Linked DNA regions of Macaca mulatta. The protein of the gene in region 1 purifies or fractionates together with the protein of each later gene. This does not show direct contact. Links are inferred from orthologs where the notes say so. Each region holds a gene or a part of one and is shown in the gene's direction. Other genes may lie near its edges.

The links. Proteins that work in one complex are often made in the same cells at the same time.
Region 2: the proteins of CANX (region 1) and TOR1A purify together in Homo sapiens (affinity purification with mass spectrometry; 4 studies listed by BioGRID and IntAct, counting the BioPlex papers as one, with this or other methods). This does not show direct contact. The link is inferred for Macaca mulatta from reciprocal best matches to the Homo sapiens genes CANX and TOR1A.

The regions. Positions count from the first base shown.
Region 1 is NC_133411.1:188,708,518-188,712,161, forward strand, and holds part of CANX (calnexin), read left to right. Parts: intron 1-1,129; coding exon 1,130-1,243; intron 1,244-2,514; coding exon 2,515-2,671; intron 2,672-3,644. UniProt on the Homo sapiens protein: Calcium-binding protein that interacts with newly synthesized monoglucosylated glycoproteins in the endoplasmic reticulum. It may act in assisting protein assembly and/or in the retention within the ER of unassembled protein subunits.
Region 2 is NC_133420.1:17,787,359-17,791,739, forward strand, and holds the start of TOR1A (torsin-1A), read left to right. Parts: upstream 1-1,478; 5' UTR 1,479-1,527; coding exon 1,528-1,705; intron 1,706-2,680; coding exon 2,681-2,946; intron 2,947-4,381. UniProt on the Homo sapiens protein: Protein with chaperone functions important for the control of protein folding, processing, stability and localization as well as for the reduction of misfolded protein aggregates.

The DNA.
Region 1 (3,644 bases):
TCTTTTTTGTTTTGAGACGGAGTTTCGCTCTTGTTGCCCAGGCTGGAGTGCAATGGTGCGATCTCAGCTCACTGCAACCTCTGCCTCCCAGTTTCCAGTGATTCTCCTGCCTCAGCCTCCTGAGTAGCTGGGATTACAGGCATGTGCCACCACACCTGGCTAGTTTTGTATTTTTAGTAGAGATGGGGTTTCTCCATGTTGGTCAGGCTGGTCTCAAACTCTGGACCTCAGGTGATCTGCCCACCTTGGCCTCCCAAAGTGCTGGGATTACAGGCATGAGCCACTGCACCTGACCTAATTTTTGTGTTTTTTAGTAGAGACAGGGTTTCATCATATTGTTCAGGCTGGTCTCGAACTCCTGTCCTCAGGTGATCCGCCCGCCTTGGCCTCCCAAAGTGCTGGGATTACAGGTGTGAGCCACCACACCTGGCCTTGTGTATTTTTTTACTAGAGACTGTGTTTCACCTTGTTGCCCAGGTTGGTGTGGCCTTAAGTGATGCTCCTGCCTTGGCCTCCCAAAGTGCTGAGATTACAGGCATGAGCTACTCTGCCTTGCTATAGATATATATTTTCATTTCTCTTGGGTAGATGTACCTAAAAGTGGAATTGCTGGGTCATGTGGTAACTATTTAACTTTTTGAGAAACTGCCAAACTGTTTTCAAAGTCAGCGGTACCATTTTACTTTCCCACCAGCAGTGTATGAGGGTTTCAGTTTCTCTACATTCTCTCCAACATTTGTTTTCATGAGTCTTTTTTATTATAGCCATCTTGGTACTAAGTGGTATCGTGGTTTTGATTTGCATTTCCCTGATGGCTAATGATGTTAAGCATCTTTTCATATGCTTATTATATGTTTGTATTGTATATTTATACATTCGTATGTCTTCTTTGGAGAAATGTCTATTAAAATCATTTGCCCATTTTTAAATTGGGTTGTCTTCATATTATTGAGTTGTAAAGAGTTATTTTACTAGACCCTTAGCAGACATGATTTACAAGAATTTTCTAAGAAGAATTATTTAAAATTTTGCGATTAAAACCAAAATATTTTTAGAATACTCTGTTCTGATCCACAAAGTGGTACTGTACTGTGACCAGCATTGGCATAATTTTTCTTTTATGTTTAAGGGATGAAGATGCCCCTGCTAAGATTCCAGATGAAGAGGCCACAAAACCTGAAGGCTGGTTAGATGATGAGCCCGAGTATGTACCTGATCCAGACGCAGAGAAACCTGAGGATTGGTAAGAACTTCACTTAACTTTTTTAATTATGTAGGTTGTTTTGTTTGTTTGTTTGTTTGTTTTTGTTTTTTTTTTTTTTGAGACGGAGTCTTGCTCTGTAGCCCGGGCTGGAGTGCAGTGGCCGGATCTCAGCTCACTGCAAGCTCCGCCTCCCGGGTTTAGGCCATTCTCCTGCCTCAGCCTCCGGAGTAGCTGGGACTACAGGTGCCCGCCACCTCGCCCGGCTAGTTTTTTTTTTTTTGTATTTTTAGTAGAGACGGGGTTTCACGGTGTTAGCCAGGATGGTCTCGATCTCCTGACCTCGTGATCCGCCCGTCTCGGCCTCCCAAAGTGCTGGGATTACAGGCTTGAGCCACCGCGCCCGGCCTGTTTGTTTTTTTGAGATGGAGTCTCACTCTATCTCCCAGGCTGGAGTTCAGTGGCAGTTTCAGCTCATTGCAACCTTCATCTCCTGGGTTCAAGCGATTCTCCTGTATCAGCCTTGCGAGTAGCTGGGATTACAGGTGTGTGTCACCACACCTGGGAAATTTTTGTATTTTTTGTATTTTTAGTAGAGGCGGGCTTTAACCATGTTGGCCATGCTGATCTTTTTTTTTTTTTTTTTTTTTTTTTTTTTTTTTTTTTTTTTGAGACGGAGTCTCACGCTGTTGCCCAGGCTGGAGTGCAGTGGTGCGATCTCGGCTCACTGCAAGCTCCGCCTCCTGGGTTCACGCCATTCTCCTGCCTCAGCCTTCTGAGTAGCTAGGACTACAGGCGCCCGCCACCGCGCCCGGCTAATTTTTTGTATTTTTAGTAGAGACGGGGTTTCACTGTGGTCTCGATCTCCTGACCTTGTGATCCGCCCGCCTCGGCCTCCCAAAGTGCTGGGATTACAGGCTTGAGCCACTGCGCCCGGCTGGCCATGCTGATCTTAAAAAGTCCTGACCTCAAGTGATCTGCCTGCCTTGGCCTCCCAAAGTGCTGGGATTACAGGTGTGAGCCACCACACCCAGCATAAGTTACCTGTTTTTATGGAAGTCAAACTTAATACTTAAATATAGCCAAGTTCCCCAATTTCAGGGTAGAATTTGACAATTTTAATTATATTTTCTTCTTTTTTAAAAAATATATTTTTCCTGAAAAACTGTTATTACTGGAAAAACAGAAACAGGAGAAGCTGGTCTGATACTGTGAAAACATTTCAGCAGGATCTTGGCAGCCCTGGGCCAGCCAGCTGTTCATAGTCCTGCATCATAGAACCTGTTTATAATTTGTTGTTTGTACCTCCATAGGGATGAAGACATGGATGGAGAATGGGAGGCTCCTCAGATTGCCAACCCTAAATGCGAGTCAGCCCCTGGATGTGGTGTCTGGCAGCGACCTATGATTGACAACCCCAATTATAAAGGCAAATGGAAGCCTCCTATGATCGACAATCCCAGTTACCAGGTTTGTGCCTCTTGATGTTTGAGTTGCTTTCATTGATCTGTTTGTATTCAGATAGAAGTTTTATCTAGAGTCAGGCTGCCAGGTTGGTCATTATGGTTGTTCATTATATTCAAGCAAGCTATTGAATTAAAAGCAGAAGGTAGACATCCTAAGTTGAAAGAGAGCTTATTGGGTGAGGTGTTGCAAAGATAAACCTAGAAACTGGAGTGAATAACTTTATGTAACTTTTTTTTTTTCTTTTTTTTTTCTTTTTTTTTTTTGAGACGGAGTCTCGCTCTGTCGCCCAGGCTAGAGTGCAGTGGCGTGATCTCGGCTCACTGCAAGCTCCGCCTCCCGGGTTCACGCCATTCTCCTGCCTCAGCCTCCCGAGTAGCTGGGACTATAGGCGCCCACAACCGCGCCCGGCTAATTTTTTGTATTTTTAGTAGAGACGGGGTTTCACCGTGGTCTCGATCTCCTGACCTTGTGATCCGCCCGCCTCGGCCTCCCAAAGTGCTGGGATTACAGGCGTGAGCCACCGCGCCCGGCCCTTTTCTTTTTTTTTGAGACGGAATTTCGCTCTTCTACCCAGGCTGGAGGGCAGTGGCGTGATCTCGGCTCACTGTAACCTCTGCTTTCCAGTTTCAAGCAGTTCTCTTGCCTCAGACTCCCTAGTAGCTGAGATTCCAGGCGCCTGCCACCACGCCTAGCTAATTTTTGTATTTTTAGTAGAGACGGGGTTTCACCATGTTGGCCAGGCTGGTCTCAAACTCCTGACCTCGCGATCCCCCACCTCAGCCTCCTAAAATGCTGAGATTACAGGCATGAGCCACCGTACCCGGTCAACTTCCTTTTCTTTGAGACTGAGTCTCACTCTAGCGCCCAGGCTAGAGTGCAGTGGTGCAATCTCGGCACACTGCCACCTCCACCTTGGGTTCAAGCGATTCTCCTGCCTCAGCCTCCTGAGTAGCTGGGAGCACAGGCGTGCACCACC
Region 2 (4,381 bases), on another chromosome or scaffold:
ATTGAATACATGGGGGAGAAAAAACAAATCTCCCATGCAGAATTCCAGATAATCTCTGCAGATACTCTGCTCCCAAGGAGGTGGAGCAAAATCCCTAACTCCTTAATGTGTGGGCTGTGCATGGGGACCTCCTTCCAAAGAGTACAGTAGAGAAAAGAGGGGTGGGGAGAAGAATAAGTGTACGGTGCGGAGACTTGATACTACCTCAGTCAAGTGATCAAGTCAGCACCAACAGTGATAGGTAATGTTGACAGTAAGAACCCTTCCTTGGTAGAATGTGATGAGCATAGCACTTTACCTCTGTGATCTTCCTTCCAAAACCCCATAGCGCTAGTCTAATCCTGAGAAAAACATCAAATTCCAGTAGAGGGCCAGCCTACCAAAGATTGTGGCAGTACTCCTCAAAACTGTCAAGGTCATCAAAAATAAAAGGCTGAGGCCAGGCATGGTGGCCCACACCTGTAATCCCAGCACTTTGGGAGGCTGAGGTGGGTGAATCACAAGGTCAGGAGATCAAGACCATCCTGGCCAACATGGTGAAACCCCGTCTTTACCAAAAATACAAAAATTAGCCAGGTATGGTGGTGTATGCCTGTAATCCCAGCTGCTCGGGAGGCTGAGACAGGAGAATCACTTGAACCTGGGAGGCGGAGGTTGCAGTGAGCTGAGATCACACCACTGCACTCCAGCTAAAATAAAAATAAAAATAAAAGGCCGAGACACTGTCACTAACAGGAGTCTAAGACATAACAAATTAATGTATCCTGAATGGAAACCTGGAGCAGAAAAAGGCATAAGTAAAAGGAAGGAAATCCGAATAAACTGTACACTTTAGTTAATATAACAACAGTGCTTCGTTAATTTTAACAAATGTAATACACTAATAATGTAAGAATTTAGTAACGGGTAATTGCAGGGAGGTGTGGCACATGGGAACTCTGTACTCTTACAATTTTTTCTGTAAATCTGTTCTAAAAATTAACGTCCATTATTATTTTTTGGGGGGAGGGACACAGTCTTGCTCTGTCGCCCAGGCTGGAGTATAGTGGTGGGATCTCAGCTCACTGCAACCTGCGCCTCCTGGGTTCAAGCGATTCTCATGCGTCAGCCTCCCCAGTAGCTAGGTGCCTACCACCACACCTGGCTGATTTTATATTTTTAGTAGAAGACGTGGTTTCACCATGTTGGTGAGGCTGGTCTCGAACTCCTGACCTCAGGTGATACACCCGCCTCAGCCTCCCAAAGGGCTGGGATTACAGGCGTGAGCCACCACGCCCGGCAAAAATAACGTCCATTACTTTAAAATAAACAAACAAAAACACGTGGCCGACGGGGGCGGTGCAGATCCGACCTTCCGGAAGCAAAACAGGGCTTTGTACCGAACAAAGATGGCGGCCGCCGGCGTCGGGAGGAGGGCTGCCCTGAAGAAAGATGGCCTCCGCGCGAGGAGGAACCGGAAGCGCGGGTCTGGCGGCGGTACTGGTTCGCGGTCGGCGCGAGAACGCGCAGGGTGGCGCGGGTCCGGGCATGAAGCTGGGCTGGGCCGCGTTGGGCCTGCTGCTGCTGGCGCCGTCCGTGGTGCAGGCGGTGGAGCCCATCAGCCTGGGACTGGCCCTGGCCGGCGTCCTCACCGGCTACATCTACCCGCGTCTCTACTGCCTCTTCGCCGAGTGCTGCGGGCAGAAGCGGAGCCTTAGCAGGGAGGGTAGGCAGGGGCGGGGGCTGGGGCGGGGGCTGGGGCGGGGGCTGGAGGCTGGGGCGGGGGCTGGAGGCTGGAGGCTGGAGGCTGGGGCTGGGAGATGGCACTAGGGCTGGGCTAGGACCAGGGGATGGAGGATGGAGGATGGAGGCGGGGGGATGGCACCGGGGCCGGACTAGGACTAGGGCTGGAGCGGGGCTTGGGGGCTGGGCGATGGCACTAGGGCCGGGCCGGGCTGGGGCTGGGGCTGGTGAATCGCACTAGGGCCGGACTAGGACTAGGGCTGGAGCGGGGCTTGGGGGCTGGGGATCGGGGCGGGGACTGGGGCTGGGGGATGGCACTAGGGCCGGGCCGGGATAGGGATCAAATCCCAGGAGGGTCGGGCCTGGGCAGAGCTGAGTCCGTGCGGGCCGGACCCCGGAAGCCGAGCGGCCCCTGCAGGATGAGGCCTGGCCCCTTGGCCACCACAGACGGGCCAGACTTCAGTTGGAGACCTGAGGAGCCGGGCTGCAGGTTGGCCTACTTTGTGCTAAGCTGGGGGTGGACCGGTGGTAATCTCCCTCCGAAGTGGGCTCTGCTTCCTTTATAGCCTAGCGGGAGACAGGAAGGATGGTGAGGACTTCTTCGGAGGCGACCGGGAGGGACCAAACTGCTTTCTTTCCCCGCCCTGCCTTGGGGTGGGAGGAGCAGCACAGGGGTTAGAGGTGCAAACTGGTGGCAGTGGCAGTGGCAGTGGCACCCGCACCAAGGGCCTTTTCGGGAAGGAACCGGGCCAGGGCTTTAGAATAGGCAGGACCAGCAAAGGGAGGGCTCCCTGGACCACCGTCCCCTCTGGGCCAGGAGCTTACAGACCGCAGTACTTGAGGTTTCACAAGGTGCTTGAAGAGCTAGACGGCTTTGCTGGCTTTCTCATGGGCTGTAAATGTGGCTGCCTTTTGTCACTGTTTCTTCCCCACTCCTGATTGGCTTTGTCTCCCCCAGCATTGCAGAAGGATCTGGACAACAAGCTCTTTGGACAGCATCTTGCAAAGAAAATCATCTTAAATGCTGTGTTTGGTTTCATAAACAATCCGAAGCCCAAGAAACCTCTCACCCTCTCCCTGCACGGGTGGACAGGCACCGGCAAAAATTTCGTCAGCAAGATCATCGCAGAGAATATTTACGAGGGTGGTCTGAACAGTGACTATGTCCACCTGTTTGTGGCCACATTGCACTTTCCACATGCTTCAAACATCACCTTGTACAAGGCAAGGATGGGAGTTTGGAATCCCTTCCTGGATGTCGTCGGGTTTGGGGTCTCTTCGTTGTGGGATGAGATTTGGAAATTCTGTGTTGAAATGAGTGAGCCCTGAAAACGGTTCACGTCTCAGTTCCCCTTGGAAAGGTGTAGAAGTTAGAGTTTGAGATGCGTGGAGCAGTTAACACCATCAAAGCTTTGTGGTGGGTTCTGAAAATCGGTCCAGTGAGTTTGTAGGGTCATGGGATTTTAGAGGTGGACATGATCTAATCCATCTTAGAGATCAACACATCTCACTCGTTTTTTGTTTTTTTTTTTCTTTTATTTTGAGATGAAGTTTCACTCTTGCTACCCAGGCTGGAGTGCAATGGCATGATCTCAGCTCACTGCAACCTCTGCCTCCTAGTTCAAGCAATTCTCCTGCCTTAGCCTCCCAGGTAGCTGGGATAACAGGCTCCTGCTACCATGCCCAGCTAATTTTTATATTTTTAGTAGAGATGGGGTTTTGCCAACTTGGCCAGGCTGGTCTCGAACTCCTGACCTCAGGTGATCCGCCCAGCTCAGCCTCCCAAAGTGCTGGGATTACAGGTGTGAGCCACCATGCCCGGTCACATCTCACTCATTTTGTGAAAGAGAAAACATATGTAGAGAGTCCTAAGTTTGTTGAACCTACTGTTGCAAACTGCCCTTTTTTTTTCTTTGAGTCAGGGTCTCACTCTGTTGTCTAGGCTGGAGTGCAGTGACGCCATCTTGTCTCACGGCAACCTCCGCCTTCTGGGTTCAAGCGATTCTCCTGCCTCAGCCTCCCGAGTAGCTGTGACTACAGGCATGCACCACCACACCCGGCTAATCTTTGTATTTCTAGTAGAGATGGGGTTTCCCCACATTGGCCAGACTGGTCTCGAACTCCCGACCTCAAGTGATCTGCCCACCTCAGCCTCCCAAAGTGCTAGGATTACAAGTGTGGGCCACCTCGCCCAGCGGCAAACAGCTTTTATGGTTGAACTCACTGATTAGCAGCTTGGGCTTTGGCAGCAGACACATCTGGATTTGAGTCCTAACACTCTCCCAGCTCCATAGTCTTAGGACAGTTGCCTGACCTGAGACTCAGGTTCTGACTTACAAAGTGTTGCTTGTAACAATCCAGGGAACTCTGTCTGTCAAGTGTGTAACATGTGCCTGGTGCATGTTACAAATAAATGTTAACTGTTGCCTTTTAGATCCTTGTAACAGACCTGCAAGGTGGGCAAAAGTTATTATTTGTTTATTTTTTGAGACTGAGTTTCACTCTTGTAGCCCAGGCTGGAGTTCAATGGCACAATCTCCATCTGGGCTCACTGCAAACTCTGCCTCCCGGGTTCAAGTGATTCTCCTGCCTCAGCCTCCCAAGTAGCTGGGATTACAGGCGCCCGCCACCACACCCAGCTAATTTTTGTATTTTTAGT